6 linked regions of the Ovis aries genome follow. The protein of the gene in region 6 binds, or shares a complex with, the protein of the main gene of each other region. Links are inferred from orthologs where the notes say so. Each region holds a gene or a part of one and is shown on either strand. Other genes may lie near its edges.

Evidence for each region.
Region 1: STRN4 (region 6) and STRIP1 share a complex: the UniProt entries of both Homo sapiens proteins name them as parts of the core of STRIPAK complex. The link is inferred for Ovis aries from reciprocal best matches to the Homo sapiens genes STRN4 and STRIP1.
Region 2: STRN4 (region 6) and STK26 share a complex: the UniProt entries of both Homo sapiens proteins name them as parts of the core of STRIPAK complex. The link is inferred for Ovis aries from reciprocal best matches to the Homo sapiens genes STRN4 and STK26.
Region 3: STRN4 (region 6) and STK25 share a complex: the UniProt entries of both Homo sapiens proteins name them as parts of the core of STRIPAK complex. The link is inferred for Ovis aries from reciprocal best matches to the Homo sapiens genes STRN4 and STK25.
Region 4: STRN4 (region 6) and STRIP2 share a complex: the UniProt entries of both Homo sapiens proteins name them as parts of the core of STRIPAK complex. The link is inferred for Ovis aries from reciprocal best matches to the Homo sapiens genes STRN4 and STRIP2.
Region 5: STRN4 (region 6) and STK24 share a complex: the UniProt entries of both Homo sapiens proteins name them as parts of the core of STRIPAK complex. The link is inferred for Ovis aries from reciprocal best matches to the Homo sapiens genes STRN4 and STK24.

What each region holds. Positions count from the first base shown.
Region 1 is NC_056054.1:87,345,647-87,349,697, forward strand, and holds the start of STRIP1 (striatin-interacting protein 1), read left to right. Parts: upstream 1-1,251; 5' UTR 1,252-1,263; coding exon 1,264-1,443; intron 1,444-4,051. UniProt on the Homo sapiens protein: Plays a role in the regulation of cell morphology and cytoskeletal organization. Required in the cortical actin filament dynamics and cell shape. Part of the striatin-interacting phosphatase and kinase (STRIPAK) complexes.
Region 2 is NC_056080.1:102,807,049-102,810,548, reverse strand, and holds part of STK26 (serine/threonine-protein kinase 26), read left to right. Parts: intron 1-2,254; coding exon 2,255-2,485; intron 2,486-3,500. UniProt on the Homo sapiens protein: Serine/threonine-protein kinase that acts as a mediator of cell growth. Modulates apoptosis. In association with STK24 negatively regulates Golgi reorientation in polarized cell migration upon RHO activation.
Region 3 is NC_056054.1:373,827-377,326, forward strand, and holds the end of STK25 (serine/threonine-protein kinase 25), read left to right. Parts: coding exon 1-101; intron 102-465; coding exon 466-611; intron 612-743; coding exon 744-858; intron 859-1,026; coding exon 1,027-1,098; intron 1,099-2,223; coding exon 2,224-2,360; intron 2,361-2,488; coding exon 2,489-2,528; 3' UTR 2,529-3,020; downstream 3,021-3,500. UniProt on the Homo sapiens protein: Oxidant stress-activated serine/threonine kinase that may play a role in the response to environmental stress.
Region 4 is NC_056057.1:95,040,512-95,044,011, forward strand, and holds part of STRIP2 (striatin-interacting protein 2), read left to right. Parts: intron 1-1,054; coding exon 1,055-1,175; intron 1,176-2,138; coding exon 2,139-2,202; coding exon of another isoform or gene 2,203-2,207; intron 2,208-2,398; coding exon 2,399-2,510; intron 2,511-3,209; coding exon 3,210-3,337; intron 3,338-3,500. UniProt on the Homo sapiens protein: Plays a role in the regulation of cell morphology and cytoskeletal organization. Required in the control of cell shape. Calmodulin-binding scaffolding protein which is the center of the striatin-interacting phosphatase and kinase (STRIPAK) complexes.
Region 5 is NC_056063.1:74,803,233-74,806,732, reverse strand, and holds part of STK24 (serine/threonine-protein kinase 24), read left to right. Parts: coding exon 1-124; intron 125-1,239; coding exon 1,240-1,308; intron 1,309-3,085; coding exon 3,086-3,222; intron 3,223-3,500. UniProt on the Homo sapiens protein: Serine/threonine-protein kinase that acts on both serine and threonine residues and promotes apoptosis in response to stress stimuli and caspase activation.
Region 6 is NC_056067.1:53,621,638-53,625,907, forward strand, and holds the start of STRN4 (striatin-4), read right to left. Parts: upstream 2,801-4,270; 5' UTR 2,770-2,800; coding exon 2,485-2,769; intron 2,429-2,484; exon of another isoform or gene 2,384-2,428; intron 2,339-2,383; exon of another isoform or gene 2,078-2,338; intron 1,988-2,077; exon of another isoform or gene 1-1,987. UniProt on the Homo sapiens protein: Calmodulin-binding scaffolding protein which is the center of the striatin-interacting phosphatase and kinase (STRIPAK) complexes.

The sequences.
Region 1 (4,051 bases), on a different chromosome or scaffold from region 6:
ATGTCCAAAACAGACATCTTGATCTTCCTCCAAACCTATTTTCCTCTGACTTCTCTATTTTAATAAGCAATACAACCACCCACCCAGCTGCTCAAGCCAAAAATTTAGGACTCATCCTTTATTCCTTCCTATCCTGCTGATAGGATTCCAGTCTTTCAGCAAATCTACCTACACAATACAGAAATACCACATCAACCCAATGTTCCAACCTGGCGTAAGACACCATCATTTCCATCTATATAGTCTCTGAACCTGTCCACCCTCACCTACTCTTGCAACACCCCAATGCTTTCTCCAAAAGCAGCAGCAGGTCAGCACTTTCTGATGGTTTTCCATTTTACTTAAAATAAAATCCAGAGTACTTTCTATGCTTTTCTAGGCCCTATATTTATCTGGCCCCTGCATTTACACGGCCCTCATCTCCTACTGTTCTTCTCCTGGCTCACTCAGTTCCTGCCAAGCCACCTAGGAGGCTCTGCAGTTAGCTGGTCCCTCTATGTTACCTCCATGGATATTGGCATGGCTCTCCCTCACTTCTTTCAGAACTCATTCAAAATCACTCTCAGCCCCTCCTTCCCTAAGCAGCCTACCTAACATAGCCCAGCTGTACCTCGATCACTGTCACCTTCCAATGCCTTACAGTTTCTTTCGTTTCTTCTCAGCACTTATTTGTGAGCGCATTGTCTGGCTCACCCACAGGCTCTATGTTACAGATCATTTCACTTTTTTCATTAGTGTAGGAACTTGATTTTGTTCCCCATTCTCTTGCACTGCCTTTAGTCTAAGAGACATTCATTAAATGTTTGTTGAATGAATGATTAAAAGAATGTCGTAACTGTAATTGTTTCATTGATTTACTCATTCCTTTCCCACGTCTCCCCCACGTGAACGTAATCTCCATGAAGGCTGGGATCGTGTCCATTTTGTTCTCTACAATATCCCGCAAGCTTTGGACAGATCTGTGAAAGTAACAAGAGCAAAGCGATGTTAAAGGAAAGAGGGGGGTTCCACTAAACTGGCTGAGGGGCTAAGGGAGGTTTTGCAGATAAAACTGCGATCTCTAAACTGGAACCGAAACACAAACTAGAAGGGTAAGATTTCACAAACAGAGAAAATCTCGCGAGGTGTTGGACAGTCAAGATGGCGCTGGCATGTGCCGCCACACTTAATATGGCGACCAGGGCGCGTTCCGGGACGAAATCACGCGAGAGTTGCATCACAGCCATAGTCAGTGAATTGAGCCGGGGGTGTGGAGCCGCCAAGATGGAGCCGGTAGCCGGCACTCCCGGCCCGCTGATCATGAACAACAAGCAGCCTCAGCCGCCGCCACCTCCGCCGCCTGCAACCGCGCAGCCTCCACCTGGGGCACCGCGGACCGCCGGAGGTCTCCTGCCTGGTGGCAAAGCCCGAGAGTTCAACCGCAACCAGCGAAAAGACTCGGAGGTCAGGAGCTTCGGGGGGCGAGGCTAGCACCAGGCGGGCGGCGGCGGTGGACCCCGGCCCCATTTCTGGGCCACTTTCGGGTCCAGGCTGGGTTTCCTGGAGGGTTCGGCAGGGGAGTTGTCATTTACAGCGAAAGGAGCAGGAAGCAAGGCTGACATCCCCGGGAGTCGGAGGCGTGAAGCTGGGGTCCCCGACCCGAGCTCTGCCGACCGGGAGAACCTCCCGGAGCCCGTATTGGCTTTTCTGAGGTCCGGGCTGTGGGCGCGGTCTCCGGGCTCCAGCCCCTGGGAAGTCCGCCCCGTGCCCCATTTCTCGGGTGAAGAGTCAGTGACCTGCGTGCGCTCTAGAGGGCGGGGCGGCTACACCCCAGACCCCCTAATCATCTCCAGCTTCTGGTCCTGTGAGTTCCGCGGCGCACGGTGGCGGGCATGTGTGGGCTGGGAAAGGACTGGCGAGGGTTGGGAAGGCACCTCCGAGAAGGACTGAGCTAATTAATTAGCACTAATAGTATCAATACTACGCGCCTGTAGGTCGCGATGGTTGGAAAGGGGAGCAGTCTTGTTCTGCTCTGAGCTTAGCCACTGCAGATTCAGGCCACGGTTAGACAGTGCCCGGTGGTTGGTGTGCCCAGTCCACCCGATGCTCAACTGTTAAAGATCAGAAATAAATTAAACAGGCGTTGAGGCTCAACATCTCTCTTCTCTTGTTTAGTGGGCTGTTCCTCCCATTCCGGAGACACCGTAGTCTGGAGCTGACTAGTCACCTCACCCCGAGTTGAAGAATTACTCCCACTGCATTCCATTGTAGAATTCATGAATGAAGACACACACGTAGCAGCGTTTTAGGGCTTCTTAATCAGCATGTTCCCAGAGCACTTACTAGGAAATTTCTTTCACCTGAGACAACCCTGAGGCTGATTAACAGTCAGATGCTTATTAATGAGAGGGCATTTTTTCTTGTCCAGATATAATGTATCAGGTCATACCTGAGTGATGATGCTATCTTTAGACACCTGAAATCAGTACCTCTCAAGCTCTTGGTTTTGTTGGCAAGAACAAACCTCTGGTCAAACATCAAAATTTGACAAGTTCCAGTCAGATGCACTTTGAGCTTGAAGTGAATTATTTGAAAAAGCAATGAAACCGACCTTTTAGTAGCCCTTGCATGATGGGCTGATTGCACATCAGTGGTGACTGCTTAATAATTTTTCAAGTATGGAGGATTTTAAAAGTGGTAGGGATGAATCCAGTTTCATCATCAGAGGCATCGTAGTTGTTCAGTAGTTAACAATTTTCCTAAGTGTTTCTATTAAATGTACTTTCTACCCTTTAATTTCTATATAGATTCAACACATGGAAGGTCATTCAGTGAACACATTTAAGCTGAGAGACCTGTCAGAATCTATTTTCTTAGAAATACTGATACAGCTCTCTTTTGAGTCAAAGCTGAAATCAGTAGGCTGGGAGCCAGAGGCGTGCCTGCAGAACAGGGAGGCAGGTATTTGACGAGAGCCCACTGTGCGGCATCGTTTTAATTAGTCCTTAAAAAACCTTCAAGATAGATTTTTGTCATCCTCATTACATAAATGAAGAAACTGAAGCTCAGGAACTTATGAAACTGTGCAGCCTGTTGCCTCTGAATAAGAAGTAGAGTTATTTATGTTACTCATGTTTGAGGGTATGTTATGTCATTTTGTGGGTGGTCATTGTCTTCCCAAGTAGATAGTAATTAAGCTGAGGACTACCTTTTTCTTCACCTCTGTTCTTTTCCCAGAACAAGGCTTCCCAGATGGTGTGTTCTCAGTACTCACTTATTTCCAGCAGTAAAAAGATTCTTTGCCATAATCTCTCCTATGTGTGGGAGGGAAACCATTTCTGTTCAGCTGCTGCCTTCTCTGTCAGTTCTTGCTGAAATTTGAGAGAAAGGCAGGAAGACTGAGGGTGTCAATACTTATTTTGTACTGAGCTGTTGATAGCCCACTTGCTAAGTCACTTCAGTCGTGTCCGACTCTGTGTGACCCCATAGACGGAAGCCCAGGCTCCCCCGTCCCTGGGATTCTCCAGGCAAGAACACTGGAGTGGGTTGCCATTTCCTTCTCCAATGCATGAAAGTGAAAAGTGAAAGTGAAGTCGCTCAGTCGTGTCTGACCTCAGCGATCCCATGGACTGCAGCCTTCCAGGCTCCTCTGTCCATGGGATTTTCTAGGCAGGAGTACTAGAGTGGGGTGCCATGGCCTTCTCCCTGATAGCCCACTAGCCAGAAAGAAACGAGGCTTCTAAAGCCTTAGTACCATGTGGAATGATCATTTCATTGCATGGAACACATGGAAGCTTTAGTGTTCATTTATCCAACAAGTTGTTATTTGAGTATATGCTCTTCATTCAGTCACCCATGCCAAGTACTGTGCTGAGCATTGTGAAATCATGGGTGAGAAGAATGGACACTAAACAGACGCACAGGCGCATGTATAATTATGAGTTATGATAAGTGCCATGAAGGAGTAGTGCAAGGGGCTCTGAGAGGGCTTGGTAGGGAGAGCCGAACTAACCCAGAAGACAAAACATTGTGAGAAAACGTCAGAACAGTGAAGGCAGCGATGTGCTGTAAC
Region 2 (3,500 bases), on a different chromosome or scaffold from region 6:
TTTATTATAGAAAGCGAGAACAGCTGTGTTCTCCCTCGGGGTGGTTGTTTCAGTCAAATCCTTTTAAAACATGAATTAGGAAGATTAGGATTTAATCTTTGTTTCTTCCAAGAACAAAAAAAATCTCATTATACAGTTAATATACTCCTGGTCCAGAATGTGTTATCAGAAAGTCCGTATTGTCTACTTTTTAATCAATGGTATATTTATAACTTTTAGAGTATTTTGTAGTTACATCAGGAAACCTGAAAGATTTGCTCTTTTTATTTTTCCAAATTCACTGAATTTAGGGAACTATAAGGTGATGAACCTATCACTGAGCTGTTTGGTGAGTATTTTTGCCACAAGCTACTAGAAAGAAAGGAACCATTACCAAAAGTAGGAAGAATAATTTGTGGGTTAGCTATTATGTGATAGTAATCACAATGTCTTGGTAAGAAATTAAGCACCAAGTTAATCAATAGTGATGGTACTCAAGTTTTGTAAAAGGTATTTTATAACAAAATGTTGGCATTAAAGAAACGTTTGCAATTTAAAGAAGTCTAAACTATTTTTAAAGCCCATATGGGCAGCTGAAGATGTATTTGTCCCATGTGAGTACTGGAGGTGGGTGGAGATAACAAGTAGCTTGCCATACCAAAGAGACTATGGCATACATGGAAAATTGTCTTTTAAAAATGGAAAAAGTCCAATCAAGGAGAATGGGTAAGCTTGTAAATTAAGCAGGTCATGTGTAAACTGTCTTTTAGGCAGGTCGAAAAGAGAAAAATTGGTGAAATTCTTTAAAATCAGTCATAAGTTTTTAAGTTACTCAAAAGCGGGCAGTTTACTGTGTCTGTTTGGTGATGATGGTACAATGAACTTGAGAGAAAATTAATGTTAATGATCTATTTGTCTAATAAAAAAGATATTAGAGGAACATGCTAATAACTATAATTTGCCTCCTGAAATTGATGACCAGGTTAAATTGTAATAAATGAACAGATAATCTAGGTGCAATTAACAAATTAAATATAGACAAGTTAGAACTATATAACATTCTTCTATATTTTGAAGGAATTCAAAGTAAAGTTTTAGTTGTAGACTAATAAGGCAGTTAAGTGTAAATTAGATTGACATGTACACACTACTATTATATTTAAAATAAAATGCCCTTCCATGAAAAAGTAAAATTAATTAATAACATGACTTTTGGTTTGGAAATAAGGTTTGGAAATCCTTTTTTCTACTTGATCAGCAGTATATATTCAGCAATATGAATTTAAGTAAGGTTAAGGGTTATCCTATGGGAGTCAAATTTGAAATAAAAATTGTGCACTATTAAATAAAGGATATTTCTGAGTCAGGGAAGGACAGTGAAGTTATAAAATCTAAGTCTTGCCAATACATTTGTTAACCTGAAAAGTTATGCTTGATTCAGATTTTTCTGTAGAAAAATATTGACTTATTCTGGAATTTTATTTTCAGCCATTGATGAGAGCATTACATACAAATGAAAGTTGAAAGTGTTAGATGCTCAGTCATATAGCCTACTCTGTATGACCCCATGGACTATAGCCCACCAGGCTTCTCTGTCCCTGGGATGCTGCAGGCAAGAATACTGAAGTAGGTAGCCATTCCATTCTCCAGGGGATCTTCCCGAACCAGGAATTAAACCCAGGTCTCCTGCATGGCAGGCAGATTCTTTACCATCTGAGCCACACATACAGATAGGATCCCAAATAAAGAAGAAGGAAAAAAAGACTTGTAGATTCTTGGGTCTTTTGTGTTGTGTGTTGTTTACATGGTGGTTTTCAAGTACAGGTGCTGTGATTGGGTTGTCCAAGTCGGAGAGTTTAAAGGTAATATTTTGCTGGTGGAATGTAAGAATTTTAATGACGCCCCTACCTACAGTAGGTTAGGTATTCTCTCACTATCACTACCATTGTACTAATGTGTAAATTGTATATAGTCAACTGCTTTATTCTAAAAAGAGTCTGGCCCTTTGGCATGCACCAGAGACAACATTTGCTGTATGAGATCGTTTCTGATAGCAGGATCAGCTAAGCCCATTTAATGTGGGTGATCCAGTAGAATATGGACTACCCATTTGGGTTACAGTTGTTCTAACAAAGCACGTGTGGAGAGTCAAGGGAATTTGTATGCTTTCTTTTAGGTAAATGTGATATTGTCTTACATGATTTATTTTCCTTCATTTAAAACTTTGATACAAAATGTTTGTGTTCTTCCCTTTCTTCTCTCCCTGCCCCCTCAGAATAATATAGCCGATCCAGAAGAGCTCTTCACGAAATTAGAACGCATTGGAAAAGGCTCCTTTGGAGAAGTTTTCAAAGGAATTGATAACCGTAGCCAGCAAGTGGTTGCTATTAAAATCATAGACCTCGAGGAAGCCGAAGATGAAATTGAAGACATTCAGCAAGAAATAACGGTTTTGAGTCAGTGTGACAGCTCATACGTAACGAAATACTATGGATCATATTTAAAGGTAATGTGTGCACTGGATCATGAGGTACTTTCATTATGAGTATTTCTTTCTTTTTTTAATTCTGTTTTTTGAAAGGCAGTGTCTTAAATTAGGATTTGGCAGCCTTCGGCCTTCAGGCAGAATCTAGCTCCATTTGTAGGGCCAAAATAGATTTAGATTTAGCAGCTGTGTCCTGAATGCATCCAGTACTCAGCTGTACCATTTTTCCACACCTGAACTTTTGGGTTGATGGAGGAGCAGAAAGGCAGCTGAGCCTTGACACATAACCTTTGTCAGGAAAGAGCTTTCTTCTTGGACTTTCACACATTACTCTCAATGGCCCAGTCTATCTCAACCTCAGAATTGATGGCATATGTATTGTAAGTATGTCACTTGTTCCATTGAGTTATGGTGGTTATTTACACAACTCTCCCTCCGTCTAGATTGTGAGCTTCTGGATATCAGGGAGTTTAGTTCAACCTGTCATGTTTTCACATCACATAGCACAGGGCATGGCACATCTTCAGCACACGATAAATACTTGTTGAAATGTAATTAAATAGAATAATATCTAACCCCACCACCAAAAAAGTTGGATTTTTAGTTTCCAGGGTTATAGAATTAACAGACACCTAAAATTCCAGCAGATGGAGGTATTTCTGCATCACAGAAAACTCTTTGGTGAGTTCTTGGGTTCCAGAGTTAGAGTCAAGATTTGTATCTATTGAAATATAAACAATAAATAATTAGAAAAATCTAGCTTAGAGTTTAAATTATTTTAAAATTTAAAAATATATCCCCATATTGATATTTTTCAGAGGAAGGCAGTATTAGTTAGATCTTTGATTTTCAGGGCTTATAAGAGGGAAGGGTTTTTTTGTTTATTTGCTTTTCTATCTCTAGGCCAGAAGGGTGTGTTTATAACCCATTAGGCTCTTGGCCTGCACAAAAGTTAATGCTGTCTTTTTATCCTTTTATGTTCTGCTGGGATAAACTGTATTAGTTAATACTCATATAGATATTCATTATCAATTTC
Region 3 (3,500 bases), on a different chromosome or scaffold from region 6:
TGTTCCTGATCCCCAAGAACAGCCCGCCCACGCTCGAGGGCCACCACAGCAAGCCCTTCAAGGAGTTTGTGGAGGCCTGCCTCAACAAGGACCCCCGATTTGTAAGCGCCTCCTGCCCCCAGCTCGTGAGTGGTGAGGGGGCCTGCATGGCTGAGTGTAGTTGGGGCCCCTGGCACTGGGCTCCAGAGGACAGTTGAGGGGGGTGTGTGCACGCGCATGTGCGTGTATGGAGTGGCGTGCTGGCTGTCTGTAGTGGGAGCTCAGAGGTGACAGGGCCAGAGGCCCCTCCGCTGTGCCAGGGCGGGCTCCTCTGTGCCCCCAGCCCAGGCCAGGAGGGTCTGGAGGGAGGCCCTTCCCCTGGGGAAGACAGTGTGGAGCCACCCAGCCCCCCTAGGCGCCCCTGCCACCTGGGGTCACCTAGGCTCAGCTGCCCGGCGCCTGGTGACCCCTGTGCGTCCCCGGCAGCGGCCCACCGCCAAGGAGCTCCTGAAGCACAAGTTCATCACGCGCTATACTAAGAAGACCTCTTTCCTCACGGAGCTCATCGACCGCTACAAGCGCTGGAGGTCGGAGGGCCATGGCGAGGAGTCCAGCTCCGAGGACTCCGACATGTAGGGCCTGCTCTTCCCGTGGGGCTGAGGCGGGCTCTCCAGGGCAGGGGTCGGCCTTTGGGGCTGTGAACCAGTGCACCTCAGGGCCTTCCTGACCCCCAGCCCCGTGTGACCTCCCACTGTCCCCTTCAGAGACGGAGACCCCGAGGATGGAGAGCAGGGGCCCATCTGGACGTTCCCCCCTACCATCCGGCCGAGCCCGCACGGCAAGCTGCACAAGGGGACGGCCCTGCATGGCCCCCAGAAGGTCGGCCTGGCCCCGGGCGCGCCGTAGGGAGCGGGCTGTGGGGGCACCTGCTGGGCACGCCCGCTCCCCCAGGGTGGCTCTTAGGAGACCAGACTTGGGGGGTGGCTTGCAGTTGCCCACGCCCCGCCATCTCTGCCCTGCTCACCTCCGCATGCTCTGCGTTTGTAGTCGGCAGAGCCCGTCAAGAGGCAGCCGAGGTCACAGTGCCTGTCCACGCTGGTCCGGCCCGTCTTTGGAGAGGTGAGGGCCAAGCTGGTGCGGCACAGGGTGTCTGGGTCCCTCGGGGCTCGTGAGGTTGGCCCCTTGGACCCGGCGTTTTGAGTGGAAGGACCAGAGATGGCCGGGATAAGCCGGCCTCAGGTGACCCTCAAGATCCCGAGCCTGCCGGGGTCTTCTGGGGCCCCGGGGGCTTTGAACATGAGCTGCTATCCTGGGACCTGTCACCTAGAACCACAGACACGGGGTGATCCTTCGTCTAGGGAGAGCCTGGGAGATTTCTGTCTTGGGTGTCAGGCCCTGGACAGGGAGCCCTTAAGGGCCGCTGCCCATTGGCCACGTGGCCCAGCGTCTGTGTCACTTGCTCAAGGGCAGTCAGCAGCATCCCCAGGGGTGAGTCACCAGCAGTGGGCTGTGGCCAGGTTCACACCCAGGGTGACGCTGGCCCTGGAGCCCGGGAGCAGGGGTGCATGTTGAGAGGAGGCAGCGGAGCCGCGCCAAGGGAGGTGGGGGTGGGCAGGCTCCCACCCTGGGCCCGCGGTGCCCGGGAGGGGAAGAGGGCAGGTGGGGAGGGGAGCGGGTGGAGGCGGGCTGTCCATGGGCACGGGGGCTCCTGGGGCCATGCAGCAGCGCTCTGGGGCTGGCACCTTTGGGGTGTGAGGTGGGTGGGAGGCGTGGCCACAGCCGGGCTGGCTGGGCCCCCTTCGGGTTCCTGTTCTGTGGGCTGGCCTGAGGTCAGGCTGCCGGGTGGGTGTCCAGAGAGGTGTGTGCCCTTTGCCCCTTTGTTCTGTGTGCTGGGCGAGCAGGCTGACCCGTCTCCAGCCCCCCGGCCAGGCTGCTTCCTCGTGGGGCCTCCACAGCCACGGGGTGTGAGTGGGCCCCTAGTCCCAGTGGCCAGGTTGGCGGGGCTGGCCGGGCCACTCACGCACATCTAGGCTGCGGGCTTCTGCGACTGGGGTTGGGAGAAGGCTCGTGGTTGGAGGAGGGGGGGCCAGGGCAGGCTGGGAGGCCCCGCCCGTCCTGGGAGCCCCTCCTCGGCGCTCGGGGGGACAGTGGGGCAGCGCTGCCTCCTGCTGCGCGTCACAGGTCGGGTGGGGCGGGGAGGCGCCCCCTTGGCCCCCAGTCAGGTGCCTGGGGGTGTCCGTGCAGCTTAAGGAGAAGCACAAGCGCAGCGGCGGGGGCGTGGGGGCGCTGGAGGAGCTGGAGAACGCCTTCAGCCTGGCCGAGGAGTCCTGCCCAGGCATCTCGGACAAGCTGATGGCCCACCTGGTGGAGCGGGTGCAGAGGTGAGGGCCTGGGGGCGGCGGGCTGCTGTGGGTCCTCCTCACCGGGCGGGGCTTGGCTCTGCGGGTCCTGTGTCCCCCGGCCTGGACCGCGCCCAGGGCGGAGCAGTGACCTGGCCTCTGGTCTGCAGGTTTTCCCACAGCAGAAACCACCTGACCTCAACCCGCTGAAGCCCTGTCTGCACCCGGGAGGAGAGTCTCCACCTGGAGCCGTGTGGTCGGGGCTGTGCTGACCAGGGCCCTGTGCCATCCTAGCCTCACCCCATGGGCCGTGCCCCCGCCCCGCAGAGGGCCGTGCCCTCCCACGCCCCCTCCCGGCTAGGCCAAGGCGGCGGAGGCGGCGGAGGCGGCGGGCTTGGTCTCCTTGAGGCCCCGAGGCCGGGCTGGCCCCTGGGGCTCCGCTCGCTGCCAGGCGGAGGGGCAGGGACTCGCGCGGGGCAGACCTGCCACCTCCCACCTGGCCCGCCCACCCTTGGCGGCCGTAGGTTCGCCTCTGCTGCTGGAGCAGGCACTGTGTCTTCTCATAAGGACTCGTGTTGGCCAGATTGTTGTTTTTTTAAGAAAATCAAACCTCCTTGCTTCCCTAGGTGTTCTGAGATTAAGGTGTTAGTTTTCACAGCATCTTGAGAGGCTCCTGCCACTTTCAATAAAGACCTGAACTGAGATGTGCTGGTGGCGGGCGGGGTGCTCAGGCTCCAAGGCCTCCTCACCCAAGGTGGGCACGAGCGGCCGCTGGCCGGAGAGCTGGCGGGGCAAGGCAGCACGTGGGACCAAGCATGAAGAAGCCTTTTATTCTCAGCCACTCGGCGCATGAGCACCGTACACTTCTTGGGATAAATTAGAGGGGCTTGCTGTCCACTTTTCAGAAGTGTGGGCCCGGGGGCACCAGAGAGGCTTCTGTGCCTAGACCCCTCACATCACCCAGCCTGACGGGAGGCCCGGCCCAGGAGGAGGAAGAGGAGGGCAGGTGGTTGAGGGCGGGGCAGCGCCAGCCTTGCCTGCACAGAGCGCGCCTGCTCCCCCTGCTGCCCTCCTGGCGCCTCGCGGGGCCCAGGGCAGCCCTCCCTGCCAGGTGGCGCCGGAGGCTCGCCTGCCACCAGTCTCCTGGGGGAACAAGCAGTCGTGGGGTGCGTGCTGGCCTTG
Region 4 (3,500 bases), on a different chromosome or scaffold from region 6:
TCCTTAACCTGGGCTGTAATTGTTTATAGAGAGGGTCACTGTGACCAGAGCTGACAGTGTACCACCACTAGCTGAGCTTTCTTTCTCCAGGTTTGGCCTGGCTCTGACAGGGGATGCAAGGGGGGATGCCACCAATTTACATTGTTTCTCACTGGCGTTTACATGGTCCAAGCCAGCACAACAGGAGAGGATGCTGTGAGTGATTTGTCACTGAGATGACCAGAGCTCGGTGAGATTAACTGATGAAAGCGTCCCAGAAGGCACCTGTGAGCCAGGTGCTGGAAAGAGAAATGAAATAGCTTAGCTGAAGTAGTAAAAGAAAGCCCTGAGATCATAAATAACAGGGCTGCTGGCAGAACCAATTAGTTAGAAGCTTAAAAAAAAAAAAACTAAAAAAAATCATAAATGGAGAGGAAAGAAAGGTATCTGGGGAAGGAAAAACTGTAGCAAACAAGGCAGTGCCCAGCCCTGTCTCTTGGGTCTGGTGCCTTGGCCAAGTTCCAGCTGCCAGTCCCTTCATCTTTTTGCTTGAGGGCTTTCTGTGCAGCCCACAGAAGTACTGGGGGACTCATGTACTCCCCTTATACAGTGCATTCCTCAGCACCTGCCAGGAGTTAGTGGGTGAACTGCCTCAGCCCTCTTGGGTGGGATAATTCCAAGTTGTTTGTTTTATACTGTTCTCCAGAGCTTCTCCTCACTTGGAATTGAGTTCTTGGCTGCCTTCTCTTCCCTATGTCACTTCCCCACTTCTCTACTGATAATTCCTGGGATCAACTCCCAAATAAACTACTTGCACTTGAATCCTTGTCTCTGGACTTCCTTCTCATGGAACTCACTTAAGACTGCCCACCTATGAGCACATTGGACCTCACCCTGCAGACTGCTTCTCTCACCTGCCTCATTCTGGGAAGTTCTGGGCAGCTCCTGCCCTACCTTTGTCCACCTAGTTGTTGGGTAGAGTGATAGAAGATAGTCTTAAGATCATGGGGCAAGGTGGAAAGAACCAGGATAACCCCCTCCCCCTCAACCTCTGTGGCCCTGTCTGGTCCTTTAGGCACTTTTGGGGAATGTGACTCAGAGGTCGATGTGCTCCACTGGTCCAGGTACAACTGCTTCCTGCTCTATCAGATGGGGACCTTCTCAGCCTTCCTGGAGCTACTCCACATGGAAATCGAGTGAGAAGCCTTCGGGGAGGGCTGGCCACCCCTTTCCTTGAAGGTTGCCCCATGTCCTCAGCTGGTTCCCTCACTGTAGAGCCTTTTTTCACATTTCAGTCCAGAGCCCACTGATAGTTCCCCTCCACCAGCCCTGCGCTCTGATAGTCTGTCCTCCTCCCTGAGGTTGGGCTCAGCAGCAGCTTCTACCCCATGTACAGCTTCAGCGCTGGGCTTCAGGGGCCTGTCCTGTGTTGCTTTTTCATTCAGACACCTCAGCTCAGCCTCCCTCTGGAATCCATGAAGAAAACTGTTCTCCCTGAGAACATGACATAGAGGGATGGGACCAGTTCCCATGGCTGTGCCCAGTTCTTTCCCCCATGGTTATAGCTTCAAAGGTGGCCTTATCTACTGCTCCCGCTCTAGTGACCCCCTCATGTTGACTCCCTGGTGGCTCAGACAGTTAAAAAAAAAAAATCCACCTACAATGCAGGAGACCCAGGTTAGATCCTTGGGTAAGGAAGATCCCCTGAAAAAGAAATGGCAACCCACTCCAGTATTCTTGCCTGGGAAATCTCATGGACAGAGGAGTCTGGTGGTCTACAGTCCATTGGGTCGCAGAGTCAGACATGACTGAGCCACTAAGACTTCATATTGTCTCACCCTATCACTCAGATGTTTTAGATGGTGTTAATTCTGTTTATTATTCACCAAGCATTGTTTTGTGTATAGCACAGTGCTAGACACGGTGGGGATTTTAAGACAAGTGAATATCATAGACCCTACCCTTTCTTGTCTTCACTGTAGATAAGGATTTGCTGAGATAGCAGGAAGAATTCTATGGGCTCCTCTACCTTAAACCAATTTCTTTAGCTACATGGACAGGGAATGGCAGGTACTCATGTTTGTGCATGTGGTAAGAGTGGAATACAGGGAGTAAAGAGGCCTAATGAGTTCCTGTTTTCTCCCTCGTCCCTGTGGCAGCAACAGCCAGGCCTGTAGTAGTGCTCTTCGGAAGCCAGCCATCTCCATTGCTGACAGCACAGAACTCAGGTGAGTAGGGCTGCCCACGGGATTGGAACAGGGGTCATTAGCAATGAGTAACCTTTGCCCAGATTTCAGATGCTCCCAGACTGCTAGACGTTCCTAATTCTGCTGGACTGGGCCCCCACAGAAACCACGCCTGAGGTCTCAGACAACAGATTGGTAACTGCCATGGGAACCTCTTGTGACCCTTCTGTAACCTCAGGGTGCTGCTGAATGTCCTGTACCTAATGGTGGAAAATATCCGCCTGGAGCGAGAGACAGACTCCTGTGGGTGGAGGACAGCCCGGGAGACCTTCCGCACCGAATTGAGTAAGAAGTGGCATGCAAGGAGCCTAGGGCGGACGGGAAGCATAGCATCTGCTCAAGAGGGACAGACAAGTTTTCTTTTGTCGTCGTCTTCTTTTAAGAATTAACATCCCCTCTTTGAGGACAGAGATTCTATGTGGCAGGCATGACGGCCTGGCATGAATGCCCCTCTCTGAGTGGAGCTAGGCCCACTCATATATCTTCTCTGTATTTTGGTTTTCTTTATTCCTATAAGTGGGAAGTCATCCCTCTCCCCTTCCATCACAAATCCCACATGAAAAAATGAGGTGCCTTACCTTGAAAATATAAGTTGGTGTTGCCCTCAGTCAGGGATGAGATATGAAGGCCTTTGAGATTTTTAAAAATACATTTGTTGATGTGGGAAAGTGAATTGTGACCTACAAAATGTTTGAGTTCCTCAGCCAGAAAGCATCTTTATTACTGTTAACTTCTAGTTTGACATCCACCCCCAGACATTTTACCTCCATGACCTCTCTTATCCTGCCCTTGGTGTGGCTGCGGGGGGTGGGGTGGGGGGGTTCCCCAAAGAGGCTCTCTAAGCCTCCTTCTAAGAACCAAGTCCTCAAATTCTTTGCAAGGAGGTGAGTGCCTTCCTCAGTGTGTCCAGAAGCAGAGTTACAGGAACTGGGTTTCAGCGGCTTCATCTTCATTTTCTCGCTTGCCTCTCTCCATACCTCCCAGGCTTCTCCACGCACAATCAGGAGCCTTTTGCCCTTCTGCTTTTCTCTATGGTCACCAAGTTCTGCAGTGGCCTGGCTCCCCACTTCCCCATAAAGAAGGTCCTGCTTCTGCTCTGGAAAGTAGTCATGGTGAGTGGCTGATTCTCTCCCTCTCCCGTCTCATCAGATAGGCAGTGCCTTCTGCCACCACAGTTTTTTCTGGTCTGATTCCAGGAGGCTGGAGCTAAGCAGAATAACAGGGCAGCTGTTAGCCAGTGGACAGGCAATAGGGCTGTCCTGGAGAAATCAGAGG
Region 5 (3,500 bases), on a different chromosome or scaffold from region 6:
GGACACAGACGGCCAGGCTTCTGGAGGCAGCGACTCGGGGGACTGGATCTTCACGATTCGGGAGAAGGATCCAAAGAGTCTGGAGAACGGAGCTCTCCAGCCATCAGATCTGGAAAGAAACAAGGTGAGTCTGTGCGTGCGGAGAGACTAGCCCTCGCCATCAGGACTGGCGGCGTTTCGGAGCCGCTTTGGCATGAAGCCTGCTGTTCTTGTGGGCCGCCTGTGTTGGAATTTTGCTGTCAGGAAGCCGCAGATTAAGGGATTCTGTTCTGTCTGACTACCCGGCGAGGCTGGGCCGCGAGTCTGGGTGCTGGCCTGGTTCGCAGTGCTCCTGCTGCTCTCTGTGGCCGCACCGTGAGCTCAGCGTTTCTGACACTGGGTTGTAGGGGGTGGGGAAGGGTGGCTGGGAAATGCCCAAGCTTATGAGCTTTTGACGACACTCTGCCTCTGGCGCACAATGGCGTTCCTCATCAAGGCACCGCGATTTGAGGATTGAGTTTTAAGGAATCTTAAACACATCGCTTTTGGTACTTCCCTGGTGGCTTAGGTGTTAAAGAATCCGCCTGCCACGTGGGAGACCCAGGTTCATTCCCTGGGTCGGGAAGATCCCCTGGAGGAGGGCACGGCAACCCACTCCAGTATTCTTGCCTGGAGAGTCCCGTGGACAGAGAGGAGCCTGCGGGCTACTGTCGTCCACAGGCCACTGTCGCAAAGAGTCGGACACGACCGAGCGACTGACAAATGTAATTTTCGATGACTTGGTTTTGTGCCTGTTGGCATTTATGAAAAACTGTATATTTTGAGGGATCGTTTTGAAGCACAGAGGCATAGTTTCTCCTCGGCAGAGCGGACCAGTGGCTGTCCCCTGGCGACCCTAGAGTCCCGCTCTGAGAAGCAGGCATCATTACGTGTTCAGGTGGAGGCTGCAGAAGAGGAAAAAGGCAGCGCTGTCCTGTGGCAGCCCCTTGTGGCAGCCAGCCCTGGCGTGAGCGCTGTCTTTAGGCCCTCTCCACGTGTGCCCAGTGGTGCAGTTTTGGCCCTGCCCGCGTCCACACAGGACGCCGCTCCCCGGTGCGCCATGCCTTTCCACGAGGGATGATATCTGTGGCCCCCGTAGTCAAGCAAAACACAGTGAGGCAGCCCTAGGCAGCTGCCGCTGCGGCCGTGTCTCAGAGTCCAGTGAACCCCGACAAGTATGGATGTTAGAACATTTCTCATTACGTTTTCTTTCCTCCCAAGATGAAAGACATCCCAAAGAGGCCTTTCTCTCAGTGTTTATCTACAATTATTTCTCCGCTCTTTGCAGAGGTAAGATGCCCAGTGGACAGTTGGGGGCCAGGTGAGAGGGGAAGAAGGGGGCGCAGGCGTTCATGTCTCTGGCAGGGCTGCCTGTGGAATTGGGGAGGTCGGAGCTGCCGGCGCAGTGGGCTGTGCTCCTGGAGGCCGGCTGGGCCAGGTTGCCTTCCAGGAGGGCCTCCTGCTTTCCCAGGGCCGTCTTCTGTCCAGCCCGTTGTCCTGGGAGCTGTCGCCATGGGGCTGCCAGCAGCGTTCACAGGGACTTAGCAGCCTGGCCCCAGTCCACACATGGACCAGGACCGCTTGAACTTCAGTTGTGCTGCTTTCTATAGAACCTGGTTGGGTGCAACCTGGCGCCTCTGCTTCTGCCAGACTTGGGTTCAGTTCAGTTCAGTTCAGTTGCTCAGTCGTGTCTGACTCTTTATGACCCCATGAACCACAGCACGCTAGGCCTCTCTGTTCATCACCAACTCCCAGAGTCCACCCAAACCCATGTCCATTGAGTCAGTGATGCCATCCAACCATCTCATCCTCTGTCATCCCCTTCTCCTCCTGCCCTCAATCTTTCCTAGCATCAGGGTCTTTTCCAGTGAGTCAGCTCTTTGCATCAGGTAGCCAAAGTATTGGAGTTTCAGCTTCAACATCAGTCCTTCTAATGATGGCAATGTGAAAAGTAGATGTTTACTTTAAGGGGATATCAGATTGCCTGGGGTTCTTAGGTTTCCTGGGGAGCCCCCACAATAGGGGCCTCACCCCGCAGGGCCCCTGATTGCAGCCACTGCATCCCGGTGCCCTCTCGGGGGACCCCGCTCCCTGTAGATGGGTGCGTGCATACAGCATTCAGAGGTGTTTCGAGAGTGGGTCTTAGGGTGAATGTTGTTCTTCATCGGGTTCGTACCGACAAGGAGATGAGTTGGAAATAGTCTCCTCTGACACTACCCTGTGGGTTCTCCTGGCTCACGCCGCCTTTAAGGTAATTCCGAGTGAGCCACACAGCCCCTTCTGTTCAGGTCGGGATCAGAGCTCTCCAGGGAGACTCTAGCCGGGGCTCCTCGGTCCTGGCTGGGGTATCCTGGGTGGGAGGGACCCACAGGCTCATCCCTGGGCTCTGCTTGGCCTTGAATCCCCCTTGGGGAGTTCCTGGCTGGCAGAGGTGCTGAGGGGACACCGGCTCCCCAGGATTTAGGGCTGCCACCCAGTTCCATGGGCTTCCTGGTGGCTCAGCTGGTAAAGAATCTGCCTGCAGTGCGGGAGATCTGGGTGTGATCTCTGGGTCGGGAGGGTCCCCTGGAGAAGGGAAAGGCTGCCCACTCCAGTATTCTGGCCCGGAGAATCCCATGGACTCTGTTTTCCATGGGGTCGCGAAGAGTCAGATATGACTGAGCGGCTTCCACTCACTTTTCACTGGTTCCATGAAGTCGAGTGTTCTGGCAGCACCCCAAGGCCTTAGCCATCTGCCTGGTAACCCCGGGAGCTCCGAGTTTCCAGCCTGTGCTGCAGCTGCGGCTGCAGACCAGAGCCGAGTAGGCATGGGACGGCTTTGCTGGTGGTTGAAATGGAAGAAGGAAGCAGAGGGAGTGGATGAAGAGGTGCACAGAAGCCCCCCTCCCCTGGGGAGGGCAGAGACTGGGGCCTGCCCGGAGCTCTCAGCCTCCAGAAGGGAGGGGTCCGGGCTGAGGCTGCCGGGGCCCCATGGCCGGAGCAGGCATGGGCCACACATCATATCACAGATGCCCGTGGTTTCTCATCCTCGGGGGAGTCACGCTGGCCCCGCGTCTTGTGTTCGCAGCTGAAGGAGAAGAGCCAGGCGTGCGGCGGAAACCTGGGCTCCATCGAGGAACTGCGCGGGGCCATCTACCTGGCGGAGGAGGCCTGCCCCGGCATCTCGGACACCATGGTGGCCCAGCTGGTGCAGCGGCTGCAGAGGTGAGAGGCGTCTGTGCCCAGTGCCCTTGGGCCGGGGCTGGCTGCAGAACTGGGGAAGGGAGGGGGTTCTGCCCTCGAGAAATCAGTTACGGGTGAACTGTGTGAATCAGGGCTCTCCTGGCAGGGCCCAGAGACCTCTGTGGTTGTAGCACTTGTCTCATAAACACTGGATGATGTCAGGGGCGGGTGCTCTGAGCTTTCCAGATGCAGCCTCGTGCCCAGCTGGAGGGGTGTGGTCCTGAGCCCGGTGTCTGTAACTCCTTGTTTGGGTTTGTGCT
Region 6 (4,270 bases):
AACTACCAAAAAATCCATTAAGGGGACACAAACTAAATGAGCTGTGGTGCAGACACCGGCGGGGTGCAGTTCCCAAAAATAATAAGCGCTCTGTGTGCTCATATGAAAAAAACGCAAAGATATATAAGTAGGTGAAAATAAGTCACAAAATGATGCATGTAATAGCATGTAAAAGGCGGGAGGAGAAGGGGACAACGACAGAGGACGAGATGGCTGGATGGCATCACCGACTTGAGGGACATGAGTCTGAGTAAACTCCGGGAGCTGGTGATGGGCAGGGAAGCCTGGCGTGCTGCAGTCCATGGGGTCACAAAGAGTCAGACACGACTGAGCGACTGAACTGAACTGAATAGGATTTCATATATTACACACACAGAGCTGAATTACTTTTATAGCAATAATAGGGTTTCGGGGAGTGGCTCTTTCCCTTCTCACTCACTTGGTGTGTGTACATCTACACACACAGGCACTTCTGAGATCCTTGAAATTTACTAATGTAACAGAACGATAACAACAAAGGGGTACAAAGTAAACGACGCTGGAGCCTGGACGCATCGTTCCTCTTGCTGGTCTCAAAGGTGAGGCAGCGGCGTGGTGGGTGCTGCAGGGTACCCTCGTCTCCTATGGCCGCCTGGATGACCCTGGGAAGGTCACTGAGCTTCCCTGAAACAAGCCTGTCATCTGTCCTGGGCGTCAGACAGGTATGGGCTTGAAAGTCCACAGACCACCCCTGCCACCCACAGGCTATGATCCTTGATATACGACTGACCTTCTCAAAGTCTCCACTTCCTCTTTTATTTTTGAAAAGGAAGGGAAGGGGAATAACATCCCTCACCCTCCCAGAATGTTGCAAGGACTAAGTGATACCATGTATCTGCTGTGTCTAACACAGTGTCTCACCCATAATACAAACTCAATAAACAGCAGCTGCTATTATAATTGCTAAATAAGGGCAACGTCCTTGGCCCTGTCTTCACAATGGGGGTATTGAGAAGATCTAATAAGACGTACAGATGGGATATCATAGCAAGGGGTACTTAGGTAAGGCTTTCTCTCCCACTCTAACCCCAAGCCTCAGCCACCACACAGTGAAGATCCCTTTCAGGGTGGGAGAAGTGTGGGATGCTCTCTTTAATCATCCTAGGGAGAAAATTCTAATCTGGTTATTTACTTGGGTCCCCACCTCAACCAGATACGAAACAGCAACTGAAAAGAGGAAAGACCAGATGCTAGAAGGAGATACTGACTTTGCTAACAATGCCCCAACCCTCCAAATCCTCGCCACTGGGATACCCAGGCTCCTCAGGACACTCTGCTAATCGACCCACAGTTCTCAAGGTCACAAAACCCAGCCCAGCTCCTCAGCCTCTTCCAAACATCTCAGGACACCTTCCTCCCTGAATCTACTCCACAAACCATAGGATCTTTTCCCAGAAACTTCCACAAACACCTCCCACCCCAGGATCCTTCTGAAATGTTTCCTCTGGCTGTCTTCCTGCTCTCCAAAAAGGCTCCCCTTGCCATGCCCCAGGTTCCCCGATTCCTCTTCACTGTCTCCATCCTACCGCCCCTCTCCACAGCTGGCCAAGTTTGACCCTCCCATACTCCAGTTCGGGGGTTCTCCATCTGACATCCCACACACCTCACCTCCCATCTCACGGCGGGGGCCCCCACATCCCCAAAGAGTTTCGGCTCTCCGTTCTCTTCCAACACAGGCTCCTGGCTCACGTCCTGGCTCCATCCGTGCTTCCAACCCTGGGACCCCTCCCCTGCACGCGGAAGCCAGGCCTGCCAGGGCTCCCCAAAGTTTCCTCCTCAGAGGAGAGGACACACACCTTCACGCCCCCCACCTCGCGCCCGGAGACCTTGCTCCGCATCCTTGGAGTCCTCAACACCACCGTCATTCAGTCCCTCCAGTCCAAACGCTCCGAAACACACACGCGTCCCGGGCTCCCTGACTTCCTCTCTCGACTCACGCGGGCTCCCCGCCCCGCTCTCGCCCCCGGCTGATCGCAGTCACCCCCGACGCCCCCTCTCCCCCGCCCGGGGTCCATCGGGCTCCGCCTCCGGCGCGCACCTGGTCGGGGGCGGAATGGGGAGTCCCTCGTGCGGCACCCTGGGAGCTGCCGGCTCACTCGTACACAAGACCCCTCATCCCCTCCCAACGCTTCGCGGAGCTCTCCCGGGGCGCCTCGGGGCTCCGCGGCCCCTCTCCCAGGAACCTTTCCGCCGGCCGGCTCGCTCCCACTTCCAGCAGGCCCGGGGGCCCCGCGCCGCCTCCTCCCGGCGACCGCGCGGGCCGCCCTCCCGCCGCCGGCCGCCCCTCGGCCGGCCCCTCACTCCGGCTCCCGGCCGGTCGCCGTCCCCGCCCGCCCCCCCGGCCGTCCCGGCGGCCATTGCTCCAAGATGGCGGCGGCGGCGGCGGCGGGTGAGGCTGGGCCGGGCCGGGCGGGCGGGGGCCGGGGGTCCCGGGGCGGTGCTCACCTGCAGCTCGGCGCGCTCGGCCTCCCAGCGGGCCTTCTCCGCTTCGAAGCGCGCCCACTCGTGCTGGATAAAGTGTAGGATCCCGGGCAGGCTCAGGGGCTCCGGTCCCGCTGCGGGACCCGGGCTGCCTCCGCCGCCGCCGCCTCCCTTGGCAGCCGGGCCGGGCCCCGGGGCGGGGGCGGAGACCAGGGCCGCCCCCGTCGGGCCGGGGCCCGCGCCGGAGCCCAGCGGGCGGCAGGAGGAGGCGGCGGCGGCGACGGCGGCGGCCGCTCGCTCCTCCATCATGGAGGCCCCGGGGCCGGCCCGCGCGCCCGCTGTGCCTCGCGCGCCTGCGCGGCCGCGCCAGCCCTCGCGCGCGCGCTCGGCGGGGGCCGGGGGGGCGGGTGACGGGAACGAAGTCGGGCGCGCGCCTCGCCCACCCGGGTCGACCCCGAAGGCGCGCGCGTGGGAGGGGGCGCGGGGCGGAAAGGGGGCGCGCGCCCGGAGGAGGGCAAACGCGACCCAGGCTCCGCGCGAGGGTCGCCCATGGGAAACGCGGTACTTGGGGGGGGGGACCGCTTTCTACCCCCCTCCTCCCGTTTCATCCCAAAGAAAGACTCTAGCCCTCTCCAGACCCAAATAGCACTCTCCTCCACAATCACTGTCACTCTTTGAGGGAAAGAACGACCACCAGGGGTGGTTTCAGCAATGGCCCCATCCTGATTTCTGGCCCAGGTCGGTTGTCATGGTAACTCCTCCCAATCTGGAACACCCTTAGCCTCCTCTCCCTTCCACCTTTGTGGTTATGGAGCTCCAACTCTCTCCTGGCCCTGCACCAGGAAGAGGTTGCTAAGGTAACCCAAGTCTCTGGTGGTCCTTATGCCCCTACCCACATCGGTTACTATGGCAACCTCACCCAGCCCTCAGGGAGAAAGGACCCCAGCCCCAAGGACAGTGCTAAGGGAAGCAGCTCTTTCCCAGCCCCTCCCCCCAGCCACACAGTTGGCATTACCATGGTAACCATCTCCCCTTTCCCATCGTGGGAGGTCTGTGGACCAAACCAACCAGGTGTTTTTATTTAGAGGAGATGCTCTGCTGAGAAGTAGTTGCTATGGTTACAAGGCCTGGACCATCCCCAGAGAGGTGAGAAACAAGCAAAGCCAAGTCCTGGTTACTATGGTAATGGGGGCAGTCCCCCTTCCAGTGACCCTAAGACCCACCAAGGTAAAGGACATTTTAAGATTGTCTCTCAGGATGGAGTGGATCTAGGGAAGGGGTTGTCATGGTAATACCTTCTGTCACTTCTAGTCTTACCTTTCTGGACACATTTATGAAAGAAGAGGTGGTTATACATTGCTATGACATCCTTCCCATCTCACTTTTGTAGGTGAGATGAAATTGTGTTCTATTGTGTGAAATTGACTGATTGAGGGTCTCCTGGTTTCTCCTTCCTCAGCGATGCAGCTGAGCTGGGCTGGAACTGCTCCCCTGAAGCTCCCTTATCCTGCAACCTAAAAGGTAAGAAATCTCTCAGTGTTACCAGCAATCACGGGAAAACTGCCCTTGTCCCCAAAGGTTTCTCCACATGTCAGATGTTTTCTTTATCCATTACATTACCATTCTAGAGCTGCAGCCAGGTGAAGCCTGGCCTGAAGTGAGCATAGATCCCCTTACACTGTTTCGTGGGCAATGGTAGGACAGTCTCAGCTTAACAGTCCTCTCCTCACCTGACCACTTTTTCTCTCTCACAGCCCCCTTTTGTTTTCCTGCTCTATCTGTAAGTTGTTTGCAGGGATTTTGTCTGTCT